Astyanax mexicanus: one gene and its partner. Each later gene encodes a partner of the first gene's protein in a complex. Links are inferred from orthologs where the notes say so. Each region holds a gene or a part of one and is shown on either strand. Other genes may lie near its edges.

Evidence for each region.
Region 2: coq7 (region 1) and coq4 share a complex: the UniProt entries of both Homo sapiens proteins name them as parts of the multi-subunit COQ enzyme complex. The link is inferred for Astyanax mexicanus from reciprocal best matches to the Homo sapiens genes COQ7 and COQ4.

What each region holds. Positions count from the first base shown.
Region 1 is NC_064412.1:39,288,879-39,306,201, reverse strand, and holds coq7 (5-demethoxyubiquinone hydroxylase, mitochondrial), read left to right. Parts: upstream 1-8,469; 5' UTR 8,470-8,599; coding exon 8,600-8,693; intron 8,694-10,234; coding exon 10,235-10,413; intron 10,414-10,518; coding exon 10,519-10,633; intron 10,634-11,348; coding exon 11,349-11,488; intron 11,489-11,624; coding exon 11,625-11,693; intron 11,694-14,167; coding exon 14,168-14,245; 3' UTR 14,246-14,778; downstream 14,779-17,323. UniProt on the Homo sapiens protein: Catalyzes the hydroxylation of the 5-methoxy-2-methyl-3-(all-trans-polyprenyl)benzoquinone at the C6 position and participates in the biosynthesis of ubiquinone.
Region 2 is NC_064408.1:19,906,535-19,923,507, forward strand, and holds the start of coq4 (ubiquinone biosynthesis protein COQ4 homolog, mitochondrial), read left to right. Parts: upstream 1-7,668; 5' UTR 7,669-7,760; coding exon 7,761-7,791; exon of another isoform or gene 7,792-7,847; intron 7,848-14,818; coding exon 14,819-14,965; intron 14,966-15,937; coding exon 15,938-16,034; intron 16,035-16,973. Other genes in the region: traf2b (TNF receptor-associated factor 2), read right to left, coding at 2,721-2,932. UniProt on the Homo sapiens protein: Lyase that catalyzes the C1-decarboxylation of 4-hydroxy-3-methoxy-5-(all-trans-decaprenyl)benzoic acid into 2-methoxy-6-(all-trans-decaprenyl)phenol during ubiquinone biosynthesis.

The DNA of each region.
Region 1 (17,323 bases):
TGGTAGTTCGTTCCTGTGTTATTTGTGCAAATATCACATCGGTGTTATATGCTTTGCCCAGTAATTAATTAAGATTAATTAATTATTTTTAAACAGTTCTGTTTACACTATTTAAAATTATACTTATTGACCTGGACTATCCACCTCTGTATATAAGTAACTAGGTTTACATAGGATCTCTGGTTGGTTTTGTGTTTTATAAAGACTCTAAGACTAGGTCAGTGGCTGAACTGCACTTAGCAGGGCATTACACATGTAGGCGTGGAGCTATTCCAAGATATAAAGGTGGGCAGGGAATTTTCGGGCACATTTAAATAGCTTGATATTTTTATGTAAAAAAAAGTAAATGAATAATTAAAATTCATAGCACTTTCAAGCACTTTCATTATATATATATATATTGAAACATTGCTATTTAAAAGGATTAACTTTCAGGCAACACTGTGGCCATAGCAACAAGAAGAACTTAAAAAAATTTGAAAAACACTGTATAAAATGTAGAAAAAGTTATTTAAAGTGGAGTTTAACATTCCCCTATGTATGTGTAATAATGTGTTTATTTAGAGTAAATCTTGAAATTTTGATGTATAGTTACCCAGTGTTTAAAAATCAAACAATCATGCCGCCAAACAAAAGACACATTATATTGATACTGACCCGTAGGTGGTGCTCAGACAGACCACGTTTCTCAATGCGTCTGAAGGATGTTGTTAAGCATCACCACCACCTAAACATACACACACATACACAAACACACACGCACTTACACACAAACACATGCATGCACACGTACCTATCCACAGATTTAGCATCCTGAACTTTTCCTTCCTTGACACTCTAATATAATGAGTGTGATGTCGAAATGATGTCTGGGGTAACTGTTTCAGAGTAACGCAGTCTAAACATCTGGTTAACCCAGTTGCACACAATTCTCTCCCAGGGCAATCAAGAAGATTCCAGAGGTTTTTCTTCAATATGTTGAGCAAGAGATGCTGGATGAGGTTCAAAACGTTTAAACAGTCTTGAGTGCACTGTGGCCCCCAGTGCTTATTTGTATTACTGCACCCACAATGGTACAAGTACACAAATACAGTGGTATAAAAAGGTTTTGGGCACCCCTGATAATTTACAGGATTTTCCTGTATAAATCATTGGTTGTTTTGATCAGCAATATTAGTTAAATATATCATATAGCAGATGAACACAGTGATATCTGAGAACTGAAATTAAGTTAAAGGATTTACTGAAAGTGTGCAATAATTATTTAATAAAAAAATAGGCAGGTGCATACATTTTGGGCACCCCAACAGAAAATAACATCAATATTTAGTAGTTCCTCTTTTTGCATAAATAACAGCCTCTAAACACTTTCTATAGCTTCCAATGAGAGTCTGGCTTCTAGTTGAAGATATTTTGGGTCATTCTTGTTTCCAAAACATCTCCAATTCAGTCAGGTTTGATGGTTTTTGAGCATGAACAGCCCGCTTTAAATCACACTACAGATTTACAATAATATACAGGTCTGGGCACTGAGATGATCATTCCAGGACGTTGTACTTGTTCCTCTGCATGAATGCTTTGGTAGATTGTGAGCAGTGTTTAGGGTTGTTGTCTTGTTAAAGTATTCCGGCCCCGGCGCAATTTCAACTTTATCACTGATTCCTGAACATTGTTCTCAAGAATCTGCTGATTTTGACTGAAATCCATGCGACCCTCAACTTTAACAAGATTCCCAGGACCTGCACTGAACACACAGCCTCACAGCACGATGAAGTGTTTGTCTTGGAATTCTGTTTCTTTATCTGTCATGAATACCGCCCTCCAAATAACTCAATTTTAGATTCATCAGTCCACAGCACCTTATTCCAAAATGAAGCTGGCTTGTCCAAATGTGCTTTAACATACCTCAAGCAAATCTGTTTGTGGTGTGTGCACAGAAAATGCTTCTTCTGTATGACTCTCCTATACAGCCTCTCCTTGTGTAAAGTGAGCTGAATAGTTGAATGATGCACAGTAACTCCATCTGCAGTAATATGATGTTGTAGGTCTTTGGAGCTGGTCTGTGATCTGTGGGTTGACTATGACTGTTCTCACCATCCTTATCTGAGATTTTTCTTGGTCTGCCACTTCGGGCCTTTACTAGAACTGTCCCTGTGGTCTTCCATTTCCTCACTATGTTCCTCACAGTGGAAACTGACAGCTGAAATCTCTAAGATAGCTTTTTATTTATCATTTCAATAAACCATGATGTTGAACAATGTTTGTTTTCAGGTCATTTGAGAGTTGTTTTGTGGCTCCCATGTTGCCACTCTTCAGAGAAGATGCAAAGTGGAAAAAAAACTTGCAATTGGCACCTTAACCCTTTCTCATAAATGGATTCATCTGTGTGTGTGTACGTATTTCAAGGGTCAACGAGCTTACCAAGCATTCTCATTATTCCTGCTGTAGACATTGCTGTAAACATTTCCCCTCGTGGATCAATAGAGTAGAAACCAAGAGAGTAGAAACTAAAAGAAGATGTAAAATCAATCAAAGACTTTGCATATTGGCCAGTACCAGTACAATTGTTTTGTCCTGAAGAAGAAAGTCGTCACTGGTATATTAACTGCAGACAGCAATTGTGCACAGAAAAATGTACAAGTTTAGAACAGTGTATCAGATCCAGATGTAAGTAGCTGAAAATAAAAGCTGAAATGTTGATCTTGTGTCTCAAATGTACATTTCAATGCCAAACTCAAATGTTTTTAATCTACAGCAGAAATAATGGGATTTGCTGTTTTAATACTTTTGGAGGGTACTGTATATCATCACTGTCCATCCCTGTCTTGTATATCTAAAGTTACAGAAGGAGGAAAAATCTTTTTGTGGAAGTCAGTGTAAATTATTTTTTAGGTCAGTTGGTTACTGTTGCTCCATTCATCATAAAAAAATGTGTAGGAAACTGAAAGATTTGTATTATGAAAAAAAATTAAAATGGTAAATCAAGATTTATGTATGTATAGTAATAAAAGCTGTTGTAAAGTTTTAAGTGGTATATGTGAATGTGGTAATATTATAGTGATAGACAACAGTTTGCTAAAGCAATCCTTTGCCCATGTGGTTCTATTAGCTATTGCTGAATGACAGTTCTTGATGCAGTGCCATGTGAGGGATCGGAGATCACAGGTGTTTAGTTTATCCTCTATACACTGAAATTCTTGAATGGTTTAATTATATCTCGTGAACTGTACAGGAATAGTTGTGCAAATCCCTTCTAATCTGTTTTTGAAGAACATTGTTTTTACACATTTTAATTATTTTCTCAGGCATTTGTTATCTTCTGCCCATCTTGAAAATCTTCTGCCCATCTTTGTCATTAAAGACACAGTCTTTAATGGATACTGCTATTGCATCAAATCATGTATCATGTTGTAATCACCTTCTGACATCACCTGTTTGAAGCAACATATTTTTTTTATTGTTTTACATCATTAGCAGTCCTAAACCACTTTTCCTGCTGAAATTATAGATTAATATTATTTTTTTTAAACGTTGTGCAGACAAAACATTAAATATCTTGGGCCCATGCTGTGTGTAATCAAATAAAATTAAATGTAGTATAGACTTTAGCATTTTCCATACTTTCCCAACTTTTTCTCTGACCTAAGGTTGTGACATTTCATCTGTAAATATAAACTGATTGGATCTTTCCTTGAAACTTTCTCTCTAAAACCCACAGTCCTATACGGCACTGCCCAACAAGCAGTCTGAAACCGCAGATTCCCCTCATTAACTTGGCTACTAGTCCTGAAATAATATACCAAAGACCTTTATGTATACTGAATAGACCGAGCCCACAGCCCACGTGTGTACGTCAATGCGAGACGTGTCATGTTCCCCTGCTCTGGGCAAACGCATTGACTCACACTAGCCTGGGGTAGCTAGCCGATCTCCACCACAGCTATTTGCCGTCTGACCCCAACCGTGGAGCAGCGGTAAACAACGCATTGTCTCCTTCGAGCCATGCAGGCCTGCTTCAGACTCAGTCTGCTAATGCAACCACACACACTCCAAAACACTCACTTCAGATTGTTGGATATTTTACAGTGTTATGTTTTGGTTTGGTTTGCTGAATTATCTCACACTCTACGCTATTAAAATTACACAATCCTTAAGGACTTTTTGGGAGTTCTACCATTTTTAACTGAGGAGAAACCACTTAAAGTGCCTTTAGGAAACATATTTCTTCTAAAAATCTTTTTTATAGGTTGCGTAAAGGAACACTGAAGAACTTCTAAACGTCCCTGAAGGATCTTGTAATTCTAACCATGTTCTGTGATTTCAAATGCACATAAAGGGCTAGAGGTGGGAACTTAAAAACAAATATTCATAATAGCTGCGATTAAATACTGGGTAACACTTTCATGAATATACCATTAACTAATGATTAATAAGTTATTTTTCACATTTTAATAAATTACATTTGTAAATACTAATGAACAAATTGACGACATGAACTGCAGTTGGTAAACATTTACCTAGTTTAAAATTTGCATTAACTAGCGATTAATTAATGTTCATATTCTGATGAGCTAATGATTTGCTAACATTTTTAATATGAATATCTATGCTGATAAATAAGTGTCATGTGTGAGCATTTGTTAATATTCAAATTCTGATTAACTAATGCTTTGTCCTTATCTACTGATCATTAGTTAAAAATATATTAATGAAAGTTATTATAAAGTGTTACCAAATACTGTTACCTGTTGTAAATACCTATTCGGATGGGATTAATTTCTTCCTGGGGTAATTTTCTCTTTTACGGGGGGTCCTCTGTGATTTTATTTCCATCCGGAACGACCATGTACGTGTTTTCCTCGGACATCCCCTGAGAAAATTACAGGCTGAATTACCTGCTGAATGTGATGTCATGTGACTGAGAAAGCCAAAAAAACTCACTGGTCCTCCTGTTTTTTCAATTGCAGTCCGGAGTTTTATCACCGAAGAAGTGTAGATGTGTGAAATATTTTTCACAGACGTCCCCCTGAGAAACTAATCCCGTCTGGATGATTCTTATTCAAAATGTACTGCACTGTTACATAGCCATAACATTAGCACCAATTGCCTAACCTGTAACGGACCAGGCCCAGTTGTAAATATTGATACAAATTTTAAAATGTAATCAGTTAAATTAATTGAGTTGCTCAATCATGTTTTTTTTATTAAAGATCACATGACTGTAAACAATTTAAGGATAAAATCCAACGTAAAAAAGGTTCATAATTGATATATACGTATATATATTTTAGAAAATAAAAATCTGTTATATGTAACGTAATACTTTTCATAAAAGTATATTAATTCAATTGAAATTGTTAAAATTATTGTAATTGCGTTCTGTAAATTATAATGATGATTAACACACTGTGCTGTGATGCACTCAGGGTATGTTACTCAGAAACTTCATGAGTTAAAATGCTGTAAAGTATTTTTCACAAGGGGCTGTCACACATACTTCATGGGCTCTTCTGAGTTAACGCATGAACTATCTCTCCTTAGCTATGGTAAATGAGCAAGAGTCTAAAGACACATCAAGCTTGGATGCTGAGAAATAAAAAAAAAAACAATACTGATACCCAGATACAGAAGATATTGTATAAATACATGCATACACTGCACTGCGCCTGAATATCAGAGACATCAAAGTAGGAAATAGGCGCAATAACAAGACTTTATTAAAAGCAATATTAATAGGCATTGCATCAATGTGTTAACGTTAACAGCATTTATTGCATTGGTTGTTTTTTACACAACCACTTCTGTTTGTGTCTCATCCATGATGAATTTTGAGGTATGTTTTGGTTCATTATCCAGTTATATAAACCTTTCTCTTTTTAGACTGAAAACACATGGTTTGACATTTGCATCCATAATCCAAAGGATTTTGTGGAAATCACCCGTGCAATATTGCCAATGCCACTGTCAGCAACACAACTCTAAAGCGGAGCAGTCTGTGCAGCATGTGATCCAAAAGCAATCTTTACTTTGTGAGAAGCTACGAAAAAAAAGTTATGATAGGAAAAAAATATTTGAATTAATTATAATGTTAAAACTGAACACAAACAATAATGAAATTTAACTGATATTATTAAGAAGAGTAATTTCTTAATTTCTTAATTGCCATAAAGGCATACAACTTCTTTTTGATCATGTTTTTTATGATAAATAAAATAGATTGATTTGCAAACTTACACAAACACAAGGCAGATACTGGGCCCTATTTTAGTGATCTAGGGCCGAGCCATCAATGGTGCACCGAACAGATTTATTTAGAGCATGTCAGTTTGTGTTTGGTATTATGAGAACACAAGTATGCCTTGCACGGCTCGAAATACACAAAAAGCATGCACTAATTCTCTTAATTAAACCTGGATGTGTTTTGGGCATAACATAAAAATGATCCAAACAGTGTGTCACTTTCCGTTTGCTTTAAGACCCAGGTGTGCTCTAACTGCACATCTGCACTTTTTAGCAGAGGAAACTGACCTGCGTAGCCATAATAGCAGTGAACGTCTGACTGTTGTCAGGGTTTAAATTAGTCAGGACCCACTTGTGTTTTCTGTTGCCATCATAGCATTATGCCTGAACACACCTCACCTCCAGACCACCACACCCATCGGTGTAGATATTTTCACAAGAGTCTTTGCTATTTAAACGGCGTGAGCACAAGGTGTGAAAATAGACTGGTGGCAGGGTGTAACACAGAAATTAGCTCAGTGTGTAAGATAGCCCCATAATGTAAAATGCTGTGAAAATATTACTTTTAGTACAATTTTAGTTTAGATTTTAGGCCATATTTGTGAAATTTGCAAAATGCAAAGTTTGTTTTAGTTTGTATTGATTTTTTTTTAATAAATGCATGTTTTTGTGTTTCTTAAATTCTTAAATTCACATATCCATATTATATCAGAGATATTTGCTATGTGCAGGTATTATGTATGAAAACATTTTAAAAAATTTATCTGAGAAATGAACAATTACTGCACAGATAAATATCTTCTTTATATATTGCAATAATGTTATGTTGTGTACTTGCTAGTACTGTATTGTATTACCAGCAATTTTCATAAAATATAATAAAAACATATAATAATGCACTGAAATAACAAAAAAGAGAAAGTGTCATAATAACATTATGCAGACTGTTATTAATTTAGGGCCATTACACCAAAAGGGTGCCATTTCTGTCCCCAGGGAATGTCATGTATAAATGTGCACACAAAAAAACTTTAAAATACATTTTATTATTAAGCATAGTGTCTTGTACATTGACCTAATTGCAAAAGTAAGATATGTCATTTAAAAAATATATCGTCGCTGTCCAATGAAAAACACTTATCTCCATTTTTGTCGATTTTTAGTTTTCTACATAATCTGAACAGACAAACTGTCCTTTACACTTTGCCAAAATTTCTTGATGAACGGACCAATAGAAACTCTTCAAAATGACCTGAAATAAACTCTTTTTACATTGACTTCTATTGAAAGTTTCCAAGTTTTTTTCTCTCTCCTGTAAAGTTGCTGTTTTGGAGATAAGTGTTTTTCATTGGACAGCGACGATATAAACTTAACCATGAAATACAATTATTAAAATCTGATGTAATTTTTTTTTGCATTGTTGTGTGAATTCAAATCCCATCTATGCTTTAAATAATAAATCAATAGAATTTAAGCTAAAATACACATTATAGTTCCTTGGATTTCACTTATTCCTGTTTCTGTAACACATTACCCCATCTGAAACATCTGGAACATTCTACACACATCTTCAACAGAAAGTTACTTCAGTTGGTTCTTCTGAAGATCATGGGTAGACCAAAATTAAGTTCTCTTATTTGATTTTTTGTATATTTGATCTTATTGTAACTATGACTCTCATGAATCTCATCACTCATTTCTGTTACCTAAATTAAATTTTTTTTGTTTATGTTTAAAATACAAATTTTGGAAAAATGTCTAGAATGTGCTCGGTGTCCTCATACTATTAGCATAGCCGCTATTTAGCTATTTTTCATGTTTTTGCTAATTAAATGTTAAAAACTCATTCCTGTTAATTTCATTCCTGTTACTCAAAACATAAAAGGTAACAGGAATGAGTGCCAGTAACAGATGTGATTTCCAGTAACAGGAATTAACAGGAGTTTTGTTTTGTCATAAATAGCAAGTTTTGTAACCATTTTTGGTTTAGAAACCTTGAATAAAAGTAAGTAAAGCTGACTGTGTTTGACCAGTAACTTCTACATGTTTTATATATTTAAATACATGTGTTATTAGATTAATTGTTAAAAACAGATAAAACAAAATAAACACGTTTAATTTAGAAGAGTTAGAACAAGCAAATGGCACCCATTCGGTGGAATGGCCCTTTACAATTTATTAAGTATTTTATTAAAGGGACTTTTATTATGTACGCCGCCAGCACGTCATTCTGAGGCGTCTAGCTGCTGAAAACACAACCTTTACTGCGGGTCGTGTGATAACATGCCTCTCTCTGTGTAGCTTCTCTCTCTCCCAGGGAAGTTTCTCTCTTTTTCTCAGTGTTTACAGGGCTGTAATCATGCAGAGAGCTCAGCTCTGCGCTCTGAGGAGCGGCTTCCTGCGGGTTTTCTACCCGTTAAACGCTGAAAACACCCCAGCTGTCAGAAACAGAGGTAACTCCACAGGCTGCGCTGTGAGGCTAAGCTAAGCTAAGAGTGCTGTAAGTTAAGTAACGGCCGTCCCCTGTCTGTACTTGGGCTCTCCTGTTAATGAGCGGCCGTGCTTTTTTAAAGTGCAGACTAATATTAACTGTTTCTGTGAAAAACTTATAGATGTTCCACAGTTTTCCCTGATATAATCCCTGATGTTTTATTTACGCAACAGCAACATAATTAAGTTTTGCTAGCTCCCTGAAAACTGTTACAGAAGCTCAGTTTGTGGCCAGAAACAATGTAAGCTAGGCTAATTTACCTAGGTTTGCTAGTCATTTTCTTCCCAGCTTGATATAGACTATGGGCCAGTCACATAGTGTCATATCTTATATATTTTTTGTATAAATGTTATCTTTATATTCATTTTTGAAGTACAAATTAAAAGTTAATTAAAAACAAAAACACAGATAATGGTATGTTTAATGATTAGCAAGCATCTGTTTTTAAATAAACTCTTCAAACAGTCCACACAAATCATGAAACACTCTTTATGTTTTCTTTTCATATTCTTTTCTCAAATAGCTAATTACAAGTTTTTAGGACAAATAGTATTCAACATGCTTACACACAAAATGCACAACTTCAAAAACTCTATAAATGATTGTGCTAAACACTATTGTCACATTAAGACCAACAAATGCCACTGTTTGATAGTATAATAGCATAATAATGCAATGCTACCCATTTAAAAGAAAAGTGTGCTTTTAATCAATAATAGTTTGGGGAATGTATGTTTTTTTTCTTCGTTTGTTGAAGTAGTTTTGGTGGTTATCTTAAGTGTATTATCCTCTGAAATAACTAACGAAGGATGAATAATTTGTATGCATTGGCTTTTTCACTCGTAATTAAGTAAAAAAGAGTCTTTTAAACTATTAATCTAAGATAGTAATCTTAGCCATCTTTTACATGAGGTTACATCTATGAATTAATTAAAACAGTCTGTGGGTTTGGGGTTTAGATATCTCTCTGGTGGGAATGTGAATTGAGCAAGTACTTTTAAAGCATGCAAAATAGTGCAGTCTCCTTTCAGAGTGGATAAAACTGTTGATTTTAGAACAGACTTGTCCTGCTCTATTTTAGCTCTGAATGGAGAATGAGCAGAAGAAGACTGAGTTTGTCGTTATTATACCTCCATTTTTACAGTAGCTCTTATATCAGCATCATTAGCAGCTCTGCACTTGCTCAGATAAGAGGCTAAGATAAAACTACCAGGAAAACCTAATGGACCAGTTGTTTTTAGAAGGAATATATTTTATAAGGACACTGATGGCATTTATTATAATACTTTGCCCTTTTTCAGTTCAGTATCGTTTCAGGACTGCTGCTTTAAATCAAACTTGCACTTTATTTTGACAGGCCAGATGAGTATGGTTTGAGAGAATTGTTAATTCTGGCACTGTACCGTGCATCAGACGGAAGATTTATCTCTATTTATTCTGTACATCTCATTCCTAACATGTTTTACTGTCTAATAAAAGATCTCCTTTGCATGCTTGTTACAGTAAATAGCTCCCTGTTGTGCAGAAAATACACTGTACTTCCCCCACCCCGGGACAAGGAGGAAAAGGCCATGCTGGACAGCATGCTGCGGGTGGACCATGCAGGAGAATATGGGGCAAATCGCATCTATGCTGGACAAATGGCTGTCCTGGGAAGAACCCAGTCAGGCCCTATTATACAGGTATTAAACATGCTTCTGTTATTCGTATGTCTAAACAGCTATGCTTTAAAAAGACATGTGTTTTTAAGTCTAATACTAATTCCTTGCAATATACTTCATTTGCAGAACATGTGGGACCAAGAAAAAATGCACTTGCAGAAGTTCAATGAGATTTTGGGAGAGAACAGGGTGAGACCAACGTTGTTGCTACCTCTGTGGAATGTTGCAGGTTTTTTACTTGGTAAGTTTGATTCTGTATAAATAGCATTATTATAGTGCAGCAAACAATATGTTACTTTTATGCTTATTTTTACTTTTGAAAACTTACTCTGAAACACTAGCAGAAATCACATTCACATTTAAAACAGGAGCCCCCACACACACATACTACAAAAGTCAGTGCAGTTCATGATCAGTTTATATACTGCTATCCCAAGACTTATGCCACGTCAGTGTATTTGCAGGAATCAGCTGAAAACAATTCTGATTCACATCAAACTACTCACAATGACATGCTCACATATTAATTTATTATACACATTTATTTTGTTTTATTTTTTTTTTCTATTTTCATTTCCTACCCAGGTTCTATTTCCTAACCAGTAGCTAGGTCTCCCCTACCATACTATGGTACTATCGCTTATGTAGCATCATAGGACAGCTGTTACATCAACTAACAGACTTGCTAGCATTGTGCTAAGTGTTTGTGGGAGAAGGAGGACCATTTTTCTCACCCAGAGAGAGTTAGGCTAGGAATACTCTTTGTGATTCCCAGACACATATGACTTGTGACATCACCAGGGATCAAATTTGCTAACTCCAAATGATAGCCCTATCGAAACCAATATCATGTTAAAAAAAACATTATTCAATTTTTAGGAAAATATAAACAGTAATCATTACAGTGCCTAGGGCGTTGTATGAGTATTTGTAAGATGATGTCTCTATGTCTGTAGGGGCCTCTACAGCTCTCCTGGGTAAGGAAGGTGCGATGGCCTGCACGGTGGCAGTAGAGGAGAGCATCTCTGAACACTACAACAGCCAAATCCGGGCGCTAATGGAAGAAGATCCAGAGAGATATAGAGAGTTATTACAGGTCTGACATGAAAATTTGAGCAGTATTTTATGTTTATACTGTTACAGTTACAGTTTACAGAGTAGTATACTTTATTCTGGCTGTTTGATATTGAAACATCATTAATTCATGTAGTAATTGTTTTTACCTCCACCAGCTCATTAAAGAGTTTCGTGACGATGAGTTGGAACACCATGACACTGGTCTGGAACATGATGCTGAATCAGTAAGTGTTACTGTCAACACCCTCTAACATAGAATTCTCACCTTGGGCATATTGAAATTTTCTATAAGGCACAAACTGACCAATATAACTGTGCTTTTGAACTAGGGCTGCCACAAACGATTATTTTTATAGTCGACTAATCACCGATTATTTTTTATGATTAGTCGACTAATCGGATCATACGTTAATTGAATATAAAACACAGTTTATCACAATAGAATGCAGCTGCTATTATACAACCAACATTAGATTTCAGCTATATGCTAACTAAAAATAAAAACAATTAAAATCATAGTTCATTAAACCTTTAATGAAATATGCAGCTTGTTGTAACAGACAATTATTTTACTGTTTAGCATAAAGTGTAAACAACTGTGTAAAATAAGGATAAGGCACTGGCATTTATGAAACATCTCAACCGTGAGGTTGTTTGAACTATTATGAAAAAAAAGTATATTAATAAAAAATGCCTCTCTGTCCAGATATTGTGTACATTACCGTACACAGGGCAGCGGTCTGCACAGATCTGATTGGCAGAGGAGAGCGTTTGGTGATTTTACACCACACATGACTGATCTGTGAGTTTACTGCACCGAAAAGCACTGAAAACAGAAGCCACTGTCAGAATGAAATCCTTCTCTGTAGTTTATCGGTTTGGGACGGCATTTGTGACAACGTCTGGGTCCGGATCCGGATCGCGGTCCGCCTATTAGTGACCTCTGTTTTAAAGCTATCAAGATGAGTAAGTTAAGTACTAAGTTAACGCTCTGTTTACGCTAATTTTACCAGCTAAATAGCAATTTAGCTTCTTCGTCATTTAATCAGCCACAACATGCCTCCTTTTCAGGTGCTCGTGCATCGCGGTTGTGCTGCCGAGGAAGGCAAGTTCTTCATTGCAGATATTGCATTGCACGCGTTTCACTTTTATTTTCTTGGTGATCCCACACTTTTGAGTTCTGTAGCGGGGTAGCCATGAAACCAGAGCCTGTCTGTATAATGTCCTGAGATGTCGTCCACTACCTACCCCGGTTTCCACTACTGCGCATGTGCGTCCAGGACAGAAAGGCAGTCGCAGCAGTTTGGAGAGAAAAACAAAGAAGAAAAAAAAAAAAAAACGACTAATCGACTATTAAATTAGTCGTCGACTATTTTAATAGTCGACATAATCGTGACTAGTCGACTAATCGTGGCAGCCCTATTTTGAACCTCACTCAGCATGTAAACAATGGTAAAATATCAAACATTAATGTGCTTTTTGTGTGTGAATTCTAGTAACACAATCTTTAGACATCTATAAACAATGTATATGTTATTCAGCTTAAAAAAAATATATACATTTAAAAAAAAACTTTATTTTTACAGTGATCAACTTTCATCTCAGAGAAACATACTGCTTGACGGGCACAGGAATGTAGCATTAGTCCTCTTAACACCTGTAATTATCATGCATTTTTGTGTGAAAATATCACACAATGTTCACACCTGGCATTTTAAATGCAAGCAGTGTGCTTGTGACATTTGTCTCATCATTTCCCTTGTAGGAGGGTTCATGCTTTTCTTGTGCGGACGGTGTTGTATTGCGGTTGTGGTTATTATATGTTTCGGCACAGGCAGTGACAAAGTGACAAAGTTAATGTGAGCAGTGCTTTGCTGGCTCAAGGGACATCAAGGGGCTTTAGTGTTCACAAGCTACACTAATAATGTAGTCAAATGCATCTCTGATCATCTCTAAATAAAATATGAGAAATTTATGTTGGCCAGTAAGGCTATGTTCATACAGAAAGTGGTAGTGGCTCAAATGTGCAAAAAAACACACTGAATCTGACATTCTCCATTCCATTTTGAGACACTTCAATATGTGTTTCTGAAATCTGACACAGATCTGATTCGCAGCATTGCAAATGCCTAAACAACCAGATCAGAATTTATGTGACTTTCACGTCAAAGAGAAGGAAAAATGGACGACAGCTGTGAGTGAGGGTTTCAGTGGAGGGATAGTGAGATAACAGGTGTTTTGAATATTTGAAATGATCTCTCTATTCTAATAATATAAGGGCTGTTTAAACAAAGGTTTAAGAAACCAAGAAGCAGAACAAAACACTCATTATGGCTGAACAACAGGCTCTTGGTATTCTGCCTCTTTAATGAGAAAAACGAATTTGAGACACTTTCACCTGCTGTGTGAACATATCCTTATGATCAGATAACCCAGGATGTGAACGTATCCTGGTAATGGTTCTCCATAGCAGTTCTGAGGCACCTTGCCACTTGATTCCCCTCACTCCTGAGCCTGCTGGTAGTGTTTTAAAGTTAGTGTTAGTAAAAGAGTAAGGTCAGGTGTATTACATCAGGGAAATCGGTAAACTGTGAAAATTTTTTTCAAACCAGTCATATTTCACCATGACCATGTTGCTTTTTTTGTAAAGTATAGTGAATTGCTTATTCATAATCTTTACTTTTTTCGTTTACTTCAGGTACCTGGATATTTGCTTTTGAAAACGGTCATACAAGCTGGATGTAAGGCAGCCATTTATGTGTCTCAGCGTGTTTAAGTACAAATTTGTGTTTCGGTAATATGTACAGTATATAAGTATTTTGTTTATATTTTAACTGTAAAATGATACAATGTTGAGGGTGTAATTTCTTGAATATTAAACATTAATTTGTTCAAGCAGAATTTGCTAGAGCAAATGAAATGTGTACAGGCAAAAAGGAAAAGGCATGTGTTTTCTTCAGTGTTATTGCTTTTTTTTGTATTTATACCAGTTATTTGGACTAAACTCTGTTTGGGGAGTCAGTAAAGCTCAAATCATTCAACCCAAATCAGAACTTAGTGACAGGAGTGCCTGTGTCTGTCTACTTCTGCAATGGAAAAAACGCCACCTGGTGGTTTCCAAAAGTAATAGTTCTGATAGTCTCTGAACAGAAAACCTATTTTAAATAGGTTTGTATTTGTAATGTTATTTTATATTATGTCAGTTTTTTTAGAGCTTCTTTTTCTTGCCACTCCTGCAGTCCCTCATGATGTTTATCCTGCTTGTGATATACATGCCATAATCAATAAACATTCAAGTTGAAAAAGGAATTTGTTTAAAATCTTTGTTACAAATTTTCTGTTGTTACAGTAAAGCCTCACCCCTGGAGGCAGTTGGGCTTCACTCAGGGTAGCAAAGTTATCTGTTGCTACAACATATTTCCATCAGTTTGATTCCAGAGATAGGGTTGCCACCAGTCCCGTAAAATGCCCTTTATTTGGCATTTAAATGTTTTGCTCTGTATTACCATTAAAGTCTAACAGACACACACACATTAACACTACATCACAACAATAAAGATCAATAATGATCGATTTCCTATCTAGTTGTGCTTTTGCCAAAAGATATCAGTGCAAGGGGCATAACTTATTTTCACATAGTCATAATGGGCTATTTTGTGTAGAATTTTGAGGAAAGAGATTAATTTAATACAATTTGTAATAAGGCTGTAACGTAGTACACTATTGTGGTCTGATTGATTATTTAGGATATTGAGTTTTTAATCAATGATAAATTATGTACAGTATTATTATTCAAAATAGATATTATTTGTGGCCATTTAAAGAACAAATCGTACTAATTGATTAACAGTTAATAAATAAATACATTTGTTAGAATATAATTTTTTATTTATATAAATTTTTTAGATATTGTATTTTGTGTTAAAATGTTTTTATATTTTATAGAAATTATATTTTCTAGAATTGTGTGTGTCTGTGTGTGTATATATATATATATATATATATATATATATATATATATATATATATATATATATATATATATATATATATATATATATATTTTTTTTTTTCCCACATTTTGTTACGTTACAGCCTTATTACAAATTGTATTAAATAATCTCTTTCCTCAAAATTCTACACAAAATAGCCCATTATCACCATGTGAAAATGCATATCTGTTCACACCTGGCATTTTAAATGCAAGCAGTGTGCTTGTGACATTTGTCTCATCATTTCCCTTGTAGGAGGGTTCATGCTTTTCTTGTGTGGACGGTGTTGTATTGCGGTTGTGGTTATTATATGTTTCGGCACAGGCAGTAACAAAGTGACAAAGTTAATGTGAGCAGTGCTTTGCTGGCTCAAGGGCCATCAAGGGGCTTTAGTGTTCACAAGCTACACTAATAATGTAGTCAAATGCATCTCTGGATATTGTTTAGGATATTGAGTTTTTAATCAATGATAAATTATGTACAGTAGTATTATTCAAAATAGATATTATTTGTGGCCATTTAAAGAACAAATCGTACTAATTGATTAACAGTTAATAAATAAATACATTTGTTAGAATAAAAATTTTAATTAATATACATTTTTTAGATATTGTATTTTGTGTTAAAATGTTTGTATATTTTATAGAAATTATATTTTGTGTGTGTCTGTGTATGTATATATATATATATATATATATATATATATATATATATATATATATATATATATATATATATATATATATATTTCACATTTTGTTACGTTACAGCCTTATTACAAATTGTATTAAATTAATCTCTTTACTCAAAATTCTACACAAAATAGCCCACAAAATTATTGAGAGTTTTGAAAATGTATTAAAATTAAAAACAAAGAAATCATATGTACATAAGTATTCACAGCCTTTGCTTAATACTTTGTAGAACCACATTTGGCAGCAACTACAACCTCAATTCTTTTTTAATATGATGCCACAAGCTTGGCACACCTCTCTTTAGGCAGTTTTGCCCATTCTTCTTTGCAGTACCTCTGAAGCTCCATCAGGTTTTCATCCAGGATGTCTCTGTACATTGCTGCATACATCTTTCCCTCTATCCTGACTTGTCTGCCAGTTCCTGCTGCTGAAAAACCCATAGCATGATGCTGCCACCACCATGCTTTACTGTAGGGATGGTATTGGCCTCGTGAGGAGCAGTGCCTGGTTTCCTCCAAACATGCCTCCTGGCATTCACACCAAAGAGTTCAATCTTTGTCCAATCTTTGTCAGACCAGAGGATTTTGTTTCTCATGGTCTGAGAGTCCTTTAGGTGCCTTTTGGCAAATTCCAGACGGGCTGCCTTGTGCCTTTTACTAAGGAGTGGCTGTCACCTCCCTGACCAAGGCCCTTCTCCGAAGAATGCTCAATTTAGACGGCCAGCTCTAGGAAGAGTCCTGGTGGTTCCAAACTTCTTCCATTTACCAAAGATGGAGGCCACTATGCTCATTGGGACCTTCAAAGCAGCAGAATGTTTTTTTAATCCTTCCCCAGATTTGTGCCACGAGACAATTTTGTCTCGAAGGTCTACAGACAATTCTTTTGACTTCATGCTTGGTGTTTGCGCACTGACATGCAGTCAGCTGTGGGACCTTATATAGACAGGTGTGTGCTGGATTTACCACAGGTGGACTCCATTTAAGCTGTAGAAACATCTCAAGGATGATCAGTGGAAACAGGATGCACCTGAGATCAATTTTGAGCTTCATGGCGAAGGCTGTGAATACTTATGTAAATGTGATTTCTTAGTTTTGAAAATGAGAAATAGCTGAAATAACAAAAAAGTTACAGAGCTTTCAGACCTTAAATAATGCAAAGAAAACAATA
Region 2 (16,973 bases), on another chromosome or scaffold:
TAAATCAAAGAACTTTAAGAAATTCAGTTTGAATATGCTTTAATATGGACTGAGCCTTCCGCCAAAAAGTAGTTCCACCACAACTTAACCACATACAGTGTATGGTTCAGGCAGACTAACACCACGAAAGTTAGCTTGAAAGCAAAATTGGGAATAGTGAAGATGGTAACGTTAGGAGCGTGAAATAACGCTAATACCCTCCTCTCCTGCTCCATGGAGTCGTCTTCAGGTGAAAGCTGCGAATTTTAGCATTTCTGCTTATTTTCCTGGGTGGCGTTGGTTTTAGCTAGCTGGCTGGACTGTGGTTAGGTTAGCGTAGCTTGCTTTAGCTTAGCATTAACTTAGCTTAACCTAGCCTGGCTGGTTAGCGTTCTGGCTGTAAGACGGCATTAACCGAGCGATTTTCGTTCCCTTTTTTCCACGAAAGACGAGCCAACGCTTCGGGTGAGCTTGCCACGGCTGAGCACTAGTCTGTGCTAAGCTAACGCTGCTGCGGGTGTCCTGTGTATATACGGCGTTACTCGGCAACGCGTCGGCGGAGAGATACAAGTTTAGTGTGAGAAGGCCGTGATGTTATCAAGAAATATCATCACGGCTAGATCACTTCTCAACCAATCAGATTGTGAGGTCGGAACTAACTGTTGTATAAATCTAAGCCTGGCATCCCATAAGAGGAAAAAGATTATAGATTTTTAACACTACTAACCAGATTCCCCTCTCAAGAGTACAGCACATAACAGTAATTATCAGAACACAGAAGAGCTAACAAGCACTACCAACCACACAAAACAGCAAACCGTGCAGACCACATTTAACCCCAAACAAAAAGTACCTCAGCAACAGTTCAGTAATCTAAAGTAAACATGCGATAAAGGTTTTTAGGTTTTATAAGCTTGAAAAACGGCAGTCTAGAGAGTATGTTATAATTGTGGCAGGCCTAATATTAATTATCACACCATAAACATACAAAAAAAAAACATTGATGCAAAAGCTGCTTTTAGAATTAGAATATGGTTTGCAATAATATATTTATAAAAGGGAATAACATTAAACAAATGGTATGCAAAGCACTCAAAGGCAAAGTACTGCTAAAACTGAAAAGCAGAACTGAATATGGGTGTCAAATTCAAATTCAGTTTCCAGTAACAGAACGTTACAACTAATGAGGAAGTGTTTAATTCTTTTTTTTAAAAATGAACTAACCTGAAAGCCATTTCCTAGCATCACATGGTTAAGGTTAAAACTGCATCATAGAACATTAGACAGAATGTTTTAAGAATGAATGAATGCATGAATAATTTAGTAGTCATCCAATATGCTCAGTTCCAGTCTTTCCACTTCTTAGGAAATTTAACCCCTGTTACACTGAACACATACTGTTTTCTCTGTAAATTGTATGACTTATTTACCTCAAACATCACGGTCAGAAGAAAACAATTGTCATTTTCTTTATCAATGCAGTTTTCTTATGACAGAGACAATATCTGTACACCACTAAAGTTATATTGTCATTTTGTAGGTGCGCCATCCTGTTACGCCCATATTGGGCACCTATTTTGGGATCTTACCTCTATTTTCAATAGGAAAATTGCATGAGTTTTATTTATGTAGTAAACAAATATGTTCAGTGCACTGTACATTCTGTTCTGTGTACACTTATCTGCTGAAGTTAACTGGATCTTCTGATTTATTAGGTCATTCAATGGTAATAATACTAACATGGCTACATGGAAGCTAATGCTAATGTGCATCAGCTAGACACCAGTAATCTACACTAAAGTAAAGGAGGCTATAACGGTCGCATCGCTTGTAGTTCATCGTTCCTTTGTAAAGGATGAACACAAAACCATGAAATGTGTTTAAATGTGGGTCTGGTCATGATGAAGAACAGATGAAGAACAGATGAAGAACAGATGAAGAACAGCTTCACCACAGCCTATTATGTCCCTTCTAAAAAAAAACAAATAAATACCAGCTTCTAACTCTGCTGCTAACTGGTTTCAGATGATCTAGGCTGGTGCTTGGTGTTTAATGGTTTAAGCTGGTCTATGAGAGTGATCAAGCTGGTCATGTTGATGGAATTGCATGGTAAACAACCGCTTTACAAACTGAACTTGCTAATACTTGCTAATAAGTTTAGCATACTACAGTCTAATGATGTCAATTCAGTGCACAGCCGCATTAGCATTAGCTAGCACCTGGCAATATTAGTATTACGACTCTTTTACAATCGTATATACCAGAGGATCCAGTTCTGTTCAAGATATAAACGTACACAGAAAAAAAACATATTTATTTACCACAGAACAAAATAGAGGATCATTTTAGAAAAACCCATCATTACTTCCACTGAAAACTGGGGTTAGATCCAAAATCTGATGCTAGCACGCCAAATATCTGCGTAACGATGACTACAGAATGACGCAAGACTTTGGTGGTCTACAAGGGCATTGTTAACTTAATACTGCATGAGTCAGCATGGTTGCAGAGCTCACCAAGGAAAGAGCACATAATGATGATCTCTTCAGCCACAAAGGTTGGATAAATGCAGTTTATTGCAACAGGGATTTTGCAGGGAGATGGAGGAGATGGAGACACAGGAAGACAGCTGGATGGCTCTGAGCAAAAAGAAGGTGAATTGGCAGGATCTGAGCAAGCCTTTTTGGGAAAGGAGGAGTTTGGCATGCTCTGGAGAGCATGAGGTCCAGAGAGCTTTGTACCTTGTAAGCTGTTTAAAACAGAACACACAGAACCGATGTCCACACTGGGCCTGGAAGGGCTTCCTCAGAACTCCTTTGCACTGCTGACACTGGTACTTAGGTTCCATTGATACAGAGAGTACCTGCCGTGATATTCCCGGCAATGTGGAGTCCACGGAAGAGGGCAAAGATTGTCGTGCCATTCCCTTCCATTTATCCGCGAGGCTGACCATCCTTTAAGACATAAAGGAGAAGAAAAAGACTGAAAATAAAAAACAAGACAAAACGGAATATACATTAACCACAAAGATTACATATAAAACAAATTAACAAACATTTTAAATCACAAGTGGATTGGTCAAAAAGTAATATGTAGTACTTGGAAAACTAAAAGTAGCTACTCTATGTCCTACTTTTCTGTCTGTAAATCCCCTTTTATAATCCCTCGTTTGTAATTCTATATGTCCTGTCTAAACACTATGTATGTCCTGCTTTGTTTTTTTGTTTTTGCTTGTGAACTGTGCAGAATTTGGACTGGTATGTAACGGCTTTGTTACACTCATATACATCCCTGGAAAAATTATATTAAAAAAAATAATATGTATATTTTAATACATCTATTATTATCTAGTATTGTTCTCTTCAGGCATTTGTAACTAAAGAGAGTATAGCTCCTTCCTTGCCAGTAGGTGGCACCTCATCCTAATTGGTGGTTAACCCAAAGGTGGTCGTTTCCACTGTTCGTTCTTCTCACTTCCTCAAATTTAGTCACCTAGCAAATAACTCGTAAACAAGATGCCGAAGGGAATGGAGTGGAACGACTACTGGAAAATCCTCATCATAGTTTCTGATAAAGCTAAACTAAAACTACAGACACACATCACATCAAAATATTTGTGTCGTTAATTTTGTATGACGGCGTGTAAGGAAAAGAGAACATGTTCCACCGTTTTACATAAGCATGGTCTGAATGTTACCTGAGGGTGCACATGATCACACATTTCCACCAAAGTACATCTCAATGAATGCTTCGCTTCACCCACACTTCTCGATTAGATGTTTCTGATAAAGTATAGCATCTCGAAAAACGTATCACTTCTCCTACGCCTCTCGAAGTCAGCTAAAGCAGCACTTTGTCTACTAGATTAGGAAATAAGACTAAGCTGCAAGAACATAGTGAAATGAAAAATGATTCATTTTTTTTTGTGCTGAACTTTCCAGAAGGTCTTTTCAACAGAAAACAGATCTTACAGATAAAGGGTTGCCCCATGTTTAACCAAACAACAGCGATGCACACAAGGGGGTGGTGTTTGACTGGTCAGGCATATCCAGTTCACCCCAGTGTCACAATAGTATAAAATTAAAATTTCTACACACACACTTTCCTTTTAAATGGCCCACTTCTTTTGAAAATTTCCTCCCGAAAAATGTTTCAGTTCCTGTTTAGTTTTTTTTGTTAATTCATTCATTTCCAGGGTGTCCTAAAGATTTTAGATCAACAGAACATCACAGATCACTTCTAGACTGAATGCCTGTATACTTACATCGCTAACATGTTTAGTCGTGTACTGATTTACACCTCATTTCAGTGGCATGGCATGAATGCCTGATAAGAATATTTTACTAGGTACTAGTTCTAGGAAGCATACTCTGCAGGTGTGGATTACAAATGCAGATACAATTCTTAAGATTCCTCTGTCCTACACTATTTTATAGTTTGCGTGAATAGCGGAAAGAATATCTGGCAACACATAAATATGCTGTTTATACTGTATCTGTAGATAAAAAAAAGACATGCAAACTCCATACATTCCATTTTTTTTAAACATTTGCTTCTACCAGCACCACGGACTACAAATGAATGTGACTAACAACTATTTCATATTTTTGTTTTGATGCATGCATTATTTTCTACACTTTCCTTATTTTTCCTACGCTTTAATTTTAAGACAGGCTAAAATGAGATAACTTGGCAATTTAGGCAAACGGGGCAATGTATAATTCTTGTTAAAATAAGTACATTTTAATGCATTTATATATTCATTAATATAGCTGCTTGATTTTAAATATATTTAACTCCCTCCTACACTCACCCTAAACATAAAATACCACAGGTCACAACCCACCCCCACACCCTTCCACATTGGATGCCAGTTTCCGCAGTTTCCTGTTATAAAAACCCACATACAGATCCTAGCATTCATTGTAACTTTGCCAAATGAAGTTATGTAGATGGATCACATATCTTTATTTGTCAGCTAGCAGACAATGAATACTTGGGCAGTTGCTCATCCAAATTGCATGCATCTTCGAGATTTCTGCACAGAACACCAAATTGTTGTTTATATTTAATTGCTGAAAGATAGAACTAGAAGCATATCTGTGCCAACACACAAAGGGTTTGTAACCACTTTATTTTGACTGACTAAAATTCCAAAGAGCTGCAAGAAATAAGAAGGATGGCTGCAGATTCCAAGATTATCAGTTCAAACAACTGCGCACAAGTACAAATTACTGGGAGGTGTAGAGATTTATGCAACCAAAATTCTATTTTAGTTTCTGATGGCAACCAAAAGCATCTTAAAAAAGCAATTGTAATTTATACCCATGCTTGCATACCCCCCCCCACACACACACACACACAGTTAACAGCTGTGCTGCACTTGTCAAGAGTTCATTATTTTAATTTCTTGTCTCTTAATGTGTTTGAGAGCATTGTGAAGATGTAGAGTTGGTATTCAGTGAATAGTAATTTGAGTAATGTTCTAATCCATATTATGGCAAAAACTACTTAACTAAGTAAAGAAAAAGTACTTTAAATAATGAAGGTCAGTCAACCCGAAAAATTTCAAGAACTTTTAAAGTATCCTCAAGTGCAGTCGCAAAGACCATCAAAAACATTATGACAGAACTGTCTCTCATCAGGACCACCCCAGGAAAGGAAGACCAAGAGTTACCAGCCTCAGAAACCACAAGTTAACAGCATCCCATATAAGACCCCACCTAAATGCTACTACAGGATTCTCTATATTTGACTTTATGATTCCTTCACAGTCTGGGAGATTTAATGAATGAATTAATTAATTAATTTAACAAACTGATAATGTGTAAACACACACACACACACACACACACACACACACACACCATGAACTTTACAACAAACAGACTAGCATCTACATGGATCATTATAAATAAGCAAAGTGAGTGTATCATGTGTTAACCACATGTCAGAGCCATGCACAAAATATGTGTTCTTTTAAAAACACTACAATCATTGTCTGGAAGTGCAGACCCCCACAGACTCTGTAATTACATTTAGGATGATTACAGTCACACTAACTGTTGATTTCACTGTAAGAAGCCTTACTTTTAGATGACTTTGCACCAGCAAATGACATGACTCTCCAAACCATTACTGATCATCAGTCAATTTTACATTTTATTTGGAAATCAATAAACCAGAGTCTGGAGGAAGAGTGGAGAGACACACAGTCCAAGCTGCTTGAGGTCCAGTGTGAAGTTTCCCCAACCAGTAATGGTTTGTAGAGCCATGTCATCTGCTGGTGTTGGGCCACTGTGTCAAGTCCAAAGTCAGTGCAGTGTTTTCCTGTTGAATCTTACAGCACTTCACGATTCCCTCTGCTGACAACTTTTTATGGAGATGCAGATTTCATTTTTGAGCAGGACTTGGCACACTGCCAAAAGTACCAATGGGTCTAAATTTCTGTCACATTGATTTTTGGGTTTTTATTGGCTGTAAGCCATGATCAAATCAACAATAAAAGCTTAAATAAGCTTCAAATAGATCACTCTTTGTGTAATACATCTATATAATATCTGAGATTCACATTTTGAACCGAATTACTGAAATGAAGTAACTTTTCAATGATATTCAAAGTTTTTGAGATGCACTAGTAGAAATATTTTTAGGTTAATTATATTGTCACAGAAACCATTGGTTTTACAGTTTTAAACTGTCAGACATATGTAAAAATGTAAATTTTGTGCTAAAAAGTTGTGCTATGGTTGTTATAAAACACATTGTTGATGCACACAATGTTCCCAGGCAAAGGTTAACTAGTTTAAGTTTACAAGCTTGCCACATATTACATAACAATGACTAAAACAAGAAAAATAGCATCAGCTGAAAACTGTAGGTAGCTAGCATGTATACACCTGTTATCTAGCCATCTAGTTAACACAGTAGACTAATATTAAAGTTTCTGTCTGTTTATGAATGTTTTTATTATTCTTTCTTGGGTCAAAGTCTTAAGAGACAAAATAAATCTGTAGCAAATTTTTTTGCTTTTATTTGAAGGACAAAAATGCTGTAAAATACATAACGTTGATGTAAAGACGACTATTTCACAGTATTGTAGGTTAAAACAGTCCTGAGAAGATTCAAACACTGTGTAAACAATAGACAGACTTGTAGCTTAGTTACTTAAACTGCTAGCCAGCTAAACGATTAGCTAGAGAAATACTGATCATTATACTCCTAAACACGGAGTACAAGACTGCTATTTAGCAAACACCTGAAGCTCACAAAATAACACTAGTTATAAGCTATAAAACTATATAAAGTACAGCATTATTTAACGTTACTCCTCTCTAGCACTGTGCTGTGCTGCGTTAGCTAACCCAGCTAGACTTTAAAGTGTTAAAATGTAGGACAAATACAGTCACTAGAAAACATTCAACTGAAACCACAACATCTTACAGTGTTTAAAATATTACTTCGCTATTTAACTACACGTCACTGTTCTGGTTAGGTTAGTAAACCAGCTTTAAGGTCAGTAAAAACTACTATAATGTTAATGTTGAATCATAAACAGCAGCTAGCGCTAGGTTAGCTAACACCATATAACCTTCCAGTGACATAAACACGAGGACGGCCTGTTCAGCACGTTGACTACCAAAGCGGAGACGATTCGCAACGAAAAGACACGAACTCTGTGTCTGTGTGGTGTCTGTAGAGCAGATACACACACAGTCGAAAAAACTACTCACCAAAACGTCCAGCAAGTCTGCAGCGAGGGCTGTTTAAAGGCTGACACGATGAGGAGAGTTTTATCATCCAGGGTGGGAGGTACGAACGCAAACCATTTAACGCTACTGTTCAGTGTGCACACGATACGACACACAGCGTTACAATGGCACTGTCTGCTTAAATTCTGGAGTTTTACTCGGGTAACTAAAGCTAAACTATAGTTAAACGATGTCCTGAGCTTTATATAAATACGTTTCTGCCGTGGTTCTTTAGCTAAATAAGCTATTTAGCTGGCTAAGCTAACGTTACTGTGTCGCTATGGGAGACAGGACTGAAGCTGAGTCTTCAGATATAACTTAACTTGTATACTATTTTATGTATGTAAACAAAATTATTTAAAACCTTTTTTCTTAGCAAGAAGCTTATTTTACTTGTTTAAGCACTAGAACAGATACAGGTAAACTTCTGTAAAGTAAAAAATATATGCAAGTCTATAATATTGTACTTTTTCTATGTTTCTTAAACATTTGGTGCCTAAGTTAAAAAAGTATTAGCAAATAATTAATGTTTCTTTTTATACATTGACTATATTCTTATATTATGTCAAGAGTGTATATGTATAATTCTTATTTTATGTATATACAATATGTCTGAGTGTATATGTATATTCTTATATCATATTATATATTAAAAATTATATAAGTTTGTGTATTTGAAAGACCTAAAAAAATATAGTTTATACTAGTCTATAATATTAAACTTTCATGGTTTGCTTTTTCTGAATTTACATGTGTCTTAAAAGTTTGGTGCCTAAGTTAAAAAAAAAGTATATTCAAATAATTAAATAATGTTTCAAATTATAAACGGACTGTACTCTTTTATTTTACATGCACAGTATTTCTGAGTGTATATGTACCAGTAGTTCTATCTTATATGCCTAAACAATTATTTTATAAATGTATACATTTAAATTATTTATACATTAACATTAAAAACATTTTTCTTGGCAATAAGCTTATTTTTACTTGTTAAACCACTATGCACTATACAGGTTAACTTGTAAACTGTAACTGTAAAGTAAAAAATATACTAGTCTATAATAGTTATAGTCATATAGGAGTTTATATGTTTTTTGAACATCTGGTGCCTAAGTTAAAAAAAAGTAATAACTCATTAAGTATATATACACAGTATATCTGAGTGTATATGTATCTAATTATTTGCTTGTGTATTTAACAGACCTACCATTGGTATTATTGGTATTAAAAGTCTACTAACCACTAGAAATATTTTTTGTTCTGAGCAACAAGCTTATTTTTAAAATTAGAACAGATACAAGTAAACTTCTGTAAAGTAAAAAATGTAAATTAAATATAGGTACTGTAAAAACAAATATACATTTTTAATAGCAAAATGTCACATCCTGAAGCATTTTTCAAAGTTTAAAATGGGCTGCATTTATAGGATGAAAAGTGGGGGGAGGAGTCTGTGGGAGGAGTTTAGGAGAACATTGTAGAAGCCAGCCAATATATGTCAGAAGTGTACAAATCAGTGAATAAGTGAGTTTTCTGACACTAACATGAACATTATGTGTCAATATTGCTTCATACAAATATAAATATATAAAAAAATAACAATAGTAACAGCTTGAGTTGCTGGTGACATCATATGATATGGCTTTCTGTAGACTTGCAGTGTTTTATATTTCTTGCTTAAGAGAGTTCATATTCTTTTGACAATTCAATTAAAAATGCAATTCAAATTTATTTGTATAATGCTTTTTACAACAAGTTTTGTCACATAGCAGCTTTACATAGATACAGGTCCAAGCATCTTATGAATAAGCACCAAGGTGATGGGAAGAAACCTTAAAAGAAGCAATGTTAAAGACCTTCTGAACAAGACGGGGAGGACCTTTATAGCCAACAACCAGGAGGAGCTTAGGAACGTAGAGAGCAGAAGCTGAGGAAGCATAACATGAAGGTATGGAATGATATGAAGACAATCACAAGCTGTAAGCAGAGGATGGACAGTGCCACTGACGGTGATGTAGAGAGAGCCAATGAGTTTAACCTCTTCTACAACTGGTTCGACTGCTCTGTTCAACACCCTGAGGCTCTGGCAGACACATTCTCCACATACCACCTCATCTCATCCTTCTCATATACTCATATTCATGCACCCCTCCCACAGGCTGACAGCACAGATCACACGACCCCTATTGCCCCCTCTTTACACTCAGCTGACCTGATCTACAGCACCACTGAATCCCCCTTCTCCCTCTCTACACACCTTCACTGCAGAGCAGAGATGAGCTGAGGAGACTCCACACAAGAAAGGCAGCTGGGCCGGACAAAGTGTGTCCCAGACTACTTAAGTCCTGTGCAAATGAGCTTCCACCCGACCCACTCTCATCTAGTCATGTTTTTTTTTATTTTTCCAGCCCCTCCAACTTAGAGACAAGCAGGTGAGGATGCAGGTGGATCCATATTTGGTCTCCTGGATTACTGATTACCTCAGTGGCAGACCTCAGTATGACAGGCTGAAGTACTTTACATCAGAGACTGTGGTCAGCAGCACAGGTGCAGCCATTGTGGCTTGTTTACGGGCAGTGAAGGAGGAGGAGTACAGACACCATGTGGAAGACTTTGTGGAGTGGTGCAATAGGTACAACCTGCTGCTGAACAACTCCAAAACCAAGGAGATGGTGGTGGAACTCTGCACGGCCAGGCCACCCACACAGCCTGTCTCTGATTGTGAGTTGATGTGAAGATAGTTAAGACCTACAGGTATCTCGGACTGCATCTGGATGATAGGTTGGACTGGTCAGCCAGCACAGATATATTGTACAGGAAGGGGCAGAGCCGGCTCTACTTCCTGAGGAAGCTAGGGTCTTTTAACATCTGTCGGAAGCTCCTGCTGATGTTTTATCAAACCGTGGTGTCCAGCTGTCTTTTCTATGCTGTGATGTGCTGGAGAGGAAGCATAAAGAAGAGAGACGAGATGCAAGAGGAGGACACTGCACAAACTGCACTTCATTATAAATGATAATGATCACCTACTGCATACCATCTTCATGGATCATAGGAGCAGTTTCTTTTTAACGCATATTTTTTATTATTTTTGAACTTGGTACAACATTCATTCAACATGTTTTTTTCTCTTTTACATCTTTTAAATCTTTTAGTTTTTAAACAACTCCCCTACCTCCACCCACCCCCAAACATGGAGCCATCAGTTACAAGAAAACAGAAAAACAATGATACTTAAATTAAATAAAAATTATATGAAATCAAAGAAAATAAATTATTAAATAATATTAAGCATGAAAAAACAGTAAGCACATCCCATCTGCAAAAGTGTAAAAGTAAACATGTAAATAATGAATTAAATTACAACAAATTATAAGGCACAATCTTATTTGGTGTGTGTTAAATTCTAGGAGTTGGTAGATCAGGTCTTGTTTCTAGAAAAATATTAAATGTCCCAAATGCTATGAAAAATATGATTTTTTTGTTTAATTGTATACGTAAGTCTTTCAGTCGCTAAGCAGGAAGAAAGTTCGTTAATCCACATGTTCAGAGAGGGACAATTAACACTTTTCCAGTGTCTGGCAATAAGACGTTCCGCATGTAACAAACAAAGGTTGAGCAGATTCCTCTCATGTGTTCTCAGAGCCAATGTTTCTGGTATCAGTCCGAGAATGCAGATTTCTGGACATACAGGGATTTTTTTTGTGGATTCTGGTAGAAACTGTGTCCGTTATTTTTTTCCAAAATTCTTGCACATGTTCACACTTCCACATACAGTGAAACAGGGTTCCCGTCTCTGTTCTGCATTTAACACAACTATCAGGGATATTATAATTAAATTGATTAAGTTTTTCAGGAGTTGTTGAAATCTTGCCTTTAGTATAAGGGTCTGATGTTGCTAGCTCTTCAACAGTGCTTAGGGGGGGACATTTATATGAATGTAACCTGGAGTGAATAAAACTCCGTATTTGCAAATACTTAAACATATGAGTAGGAGGGATCCCAAAATTTTCTTTAAGATAGTCAAAGGACATTAGAGTATTATCTAGATAAAGATTTGAAATCTTTTGTAGACCCAATTGAGCCCAAAGTCTGAATCCCTGATCAGATTTGCCAGGTAAAAATAATGAATTACCCCAAATAGGTGTAAATGGTGATAGCCCATCCAGCCTTTTAAACATTTCCTGTGATTCGTGCCAGACTATTATTGTGGTTTTAACAAATGGATTTGCTGTTTTCTGCTTCAGTCTTTTAAGAGAATCAGAATATAGATAAGAATCCAGAGCTAGTCCCTTAGTGTTTCTTTGTTCTATCTGGATCCATGGTAAATTGGAAGGATTAGAAAACCAAAAAAACCCCGATCTAAGTTGAGCTGCTCGAAAATACCATAAAAGATTTGGTAGTTGAAGCCCCCCTCTTTCATAAGGAAGATATAGTAATGTTAAGCGAAGTCTTGATCGTCTATTGTTCCACAAGAATTTTATGAACACTCATATTAGAAAAGAATGTTGGTGGGGGTGTAAGGGGAATCGATTGAAATAGATATAAAAATTTGGGGAGAACATTCATTTTAATAACATTGATTCTGCCAATTATAGTAAGAGGGAGGGTCATCCATCTATCTAAATTGGCGTTTACCTGAGCAACAATGGGATCATAATTGTATGGGATCATATTTTTAATTTGCGGTGTAATATATTAATTCCTAAATATTTGAACCCATCTCTAGCTACTGTAAATGGATGTTGAATTGTTGGGCTAATTCTTTCTTGTTCATTGAGAAAAAGTATTGACGATTTTGCCTGATTAACCTTGTATCCTGAAAATTTTCCGAATTGATTGATCAAATTAAGCAAGACAGGTATTGTGTTTTTTAGGTCTGAAAGATATAATAATATGTCGTCTGCAAATAAAGAGATCTGATGTTCTATTTCTGAAATATAAATTCCCTTTATCTCTGAGTGATCTCTAATTGCTATTGCCAGGGGTTCTAGGGTCAACACAAACAGCAGAGGGGAGAGAGGGCAGCCCTGACGAGTACCTCTTGACAGACCAAAGGGTTTTGAAGTAAAATTATTCGTAATCACTTCAGCTGATGGTTCACGATAAAGTATACTGATCCATTGACAAAATTTCGGACCGCATCCGAACCGCCGGAGTACATCAAATAAATAAGGCCATTCGACTCTGTCAAATGCGGGAGCAGTTTCAGTGGCAGTTTTCTGTCACAGAGCTGCTCTAAAGACAGACTCAGGAGATATTTTGTCCCGAGAGCCATCAGAGACTCCTTCTAGTGGAGCTGAAAGAGGAGGAGGGCAGATGAGAAATGAGTCTCATATGTTTTCTAAATCACAGGCTATTTTTATCTCTACTAAAATCACTCACTGTACAACATGGACATCTACACTCCGAGACTCTGTTGACACTTTACTTTACATGCTGTACATTTGCACTTCTGGACACTATTGATCCTTTACGGTCCGTCTGTCCGTTCATCCATCACAATGTCTTTAAAGATGTGTAGATTGAATTGTAATAGTAAACATTTTATAGTTCATATTTGAAAGTAGAATTTATTTGAGGACAAACTGCATCACAGAGATCATTCATTTAAAATATAATATAGTAAAAAAAAAAGGGTTTTATTTAATTAAATTGATTTATTTATTTTCATTATACTGATACAGGGTAGAACAATAAAGAAAACACTCTTAGGCTAGATCTCCAGTGCAGTAATAGACAATACCAATTATTATAAATACAATATAGTACACTATATTGCCAAAAGTATTCGCTCGTCTGATTTTGCCTTTGCCATCCAATTTAAGTTGTCCTATGCAGACTAGATTGGGAGATTGTTGTTGTAACCAGCAACCAGTGAATCCAGGAAATGACTGACTAGCAGAAAATAGATTAATCAAGGTAGTGTCTTTGTTTGCATCAGCGGTGCTGGGCAACAGGGCAACCGCAACAGCATTTGTCAAACATAACATAAAGCCAATAGCAAACACATTGGTAGACTTGGTAAGAATCTGAACTAACTGCATGACCGGAATAGAACAGAATAAGCCTACAGTGGTATGAAAAAGTTTGGGCACCCCTGATCGTTTTTATTATTTTTATAATCAGCCATTTCAGTTTACTATATCATAACTATATAGCAGATGAACACAGTGATATTTGAGAAGTGAAATTAAGTTTATGGGATATACAGAAAGTGTGCAATAATTCTTTAAACAAAATTAGACAAATGCATAAATATGGGCAGTGTTCTTTTGCTATATGTTATATTTAACTTTAATTGCTTATCTGAATAACTAATGATTTATAAAAGACAATCATGAAAGTTATCAGGGCTGTCCAAATTTTTTATACCACTGTATGTGGGCAAGCAGTTGATAAGGCATTCAATTCATATGTCTAGTTGAGATGAATGATTATCTTACCTCCACATGTCCTTTCTAAAATCACAACAGGTTGTTGTATACTATCCAGAAAAGATGCCGCTAATCAACAGATAACGCTGTTTGGCCTCATTGTAATCCGGCCTTCTTTTACTGTATCCAAAAATTTCCAAAGTGGATTTGTAGAATTGCAGAGGAGCTGTAATGGGTGGCATGTTGACTCTCCTTAGCTGTAGGAAAAAGGGGAGGTACTGTTGGGTTGATGATATGTAATGTGTTTGGCTTTTCTGTGAGATCAGCAGATGTATGGACACCGGAATTGAAGGCTGCTCAATTTAGGAAAGGGATAGGTTGCTGGCTATGCATCACTCTTTAAGGAGTTTCACTTCCTCTCTCTATGGTCCATTGTGATTATTGGTGATGTTGCAGATTATTGTTGTGTCGTCTGCAAATGTAATGGTATTGGAGCTGTGTTTGTGATTGCATGATTCAGCTGCACGTGAGCTGACTCATCCAAATAAATGAGTAAGCTTTTTAAGTAAGATTAGAGAAGGAGTTTTGCCGGTATTTGTATGAATACTTTGTCCATATGGTGTATATACTAAATATACCCACAGACTTCACCACACCACAGGGACTGCTGTTTTTCTTTTTGAACTAAATAATTTTTTTAATGTCTCTTCACTGCAGTGTTGGCCAGGCAGCAACACACAAGCTGGAACTCAGACCTCCAATATGGAAAGTTGTATCCGGGCCATATCCAAACAAGTCCTGTTCAGAAAGCTCTACTGGCCGTCGGATCTGGTGTAGCAGCTCTGCAGAATCCATACAGACATGGTGAGGCTCCAGAACAATCAATATTAATGACTTCATTTAGATTACTAAATGGCTCTGGTACTCCAATATCCGATGTCTGTTTCCTGTACAACTCGTGTTACTGTAATGAAAATTATAAAATCGAAAGGAAAAGAACAGATACATATTTTATTTCTAGAAAGAAATAAAAATACCACCACAACCACAACCACAAACAACAGGAATACCCAAATATTTTGAGGTACTTTACTTTCAGATTCAGTAACTGTGTACTGTAGTTGCACTCAATATTATTCAGCCCTCACTGCATGATTAGCATATTGCAGTTTATTTCATCAGAACGTAGTATATCCAAATTCAATATGAACTCATAGTCTCACAATCCTTCGACCCTTTCATGACAGGCATCCTTGAGCACATTTTTACTGTAATGATCTACTGCAGATTTAATTCATAGAGGAATCCTGGCTCATTTTTCATGGACTGTGGCCTCCATATTCTTGGGTTTACATGCTACAAATGCCTTTTTCATATTTTGGGTTTGGCTGTAAAGATAATTCCAGAATATTCCAAGAATTTAGGGCATGCTTGTGATAATTGTGCTTTTGCAAGGTCAAATGATGTCCAAGCAACTTGCTGTGCACACCTTCAAACAAGACAATGATCCATACTTTAAAGTTCACCAAGACTTAGTTTTAGAAGAAGTCCTGGAAGATTTTGGAGTGGTGGTCACAAATGTCTAACGCACCTCATAGCAAACTTTTGGTAGGATATGATTAAGAACATTGGAGCAAACCGAAGAACAGATGCTTTAGTCATTTAAAGTCACATTGTGTGTTAAATTTGTTGTAGTAGTCACGTTGAGTTAATCAGATTTGTTCCTCTTTGATTGGTTTATTGCAAAGTGCTAAACGTTTGGGAAATTTGATGATAAACCAGATTTACATTTTCGAGTGCAAATGTTCATAATACATAGTGTTTTCTTTTATGCAGATATGGTAGCTGTGCTTGGAGAGACCACTGGGCACTTGGCCTTGATAAAACTAAGAGACAGAATGAGAAATGACCCTGAAGGTTACACCATTCTCACGTATGTATTGAAACCTTTAATTTTTCAGAGGTTAAATGTTTCTGCCGTTACTCTTAATGTAAGATTAACCCATTTTTCCGCACTATAAGTCGCACCGTATTATAAGGCAAACTACCAGTGAACGTCTATTTTGTGGTCTATTTTCATACATCAGGATTATAAGTCGAATTTTAACAGACACTATAAGAAACTTCTAATTCAGTAGCGGCTAACCGCTCCAGCAGTGCTAGCCCGGGTAAGGAGCAAGCTACAGGCCGTTAATAGCGGTTAGCGGCTTATGCTAATGCTACTCCAGCCCTGGTGCTGGAGAACTAAACTGAAACTTCTGAATAACACTGCAATTTGGCGGAGTGACTTTATTGCTCCTTATAAACTAACTGGTAAAATTCATACATAAGATGCTGTGGCGCCTGGTTTGGGCTCCACCTGGGCTGAGGGACACCCGCCATAGTTTGTACTGCACAAATGAGTTAGTCACCTGGTTGAAAAGAGGGGGAATGTGGGTTTTTTTCTTTGCCACTGTGTCACCATAAAATTGGCATCTCTGTGGTGCTGCTCATAAGAGGCGTGGACCTGTTTTACCTGTAAAGCGGCTTTGTGACAACCTTTGTTGTAAAAAGCGCTATATAAATAAAATTGAATTGAATTGAGTTTTTTTAAATGTTTAAAATAAAAGGTTTAATAAATAAACCAAAGCCATCAAACTGATGTGTATAAGTCACCGTGCCAACCAAACCCCCAGTGTGCAATTTAAACTGTTTATGATGATGATCATCTTGGTTTGATATCATTTGTATCTGCTTTAATATGTTAATCATATGTTAATTAATTCTGGTATGGCATGTAATCAACGTAGGTAGAGTGGTTCTGGGACTCTATATATACACAGTACACGAAACAAACACTTTATATAACCAGCACAGCATATTAAAAAACTAT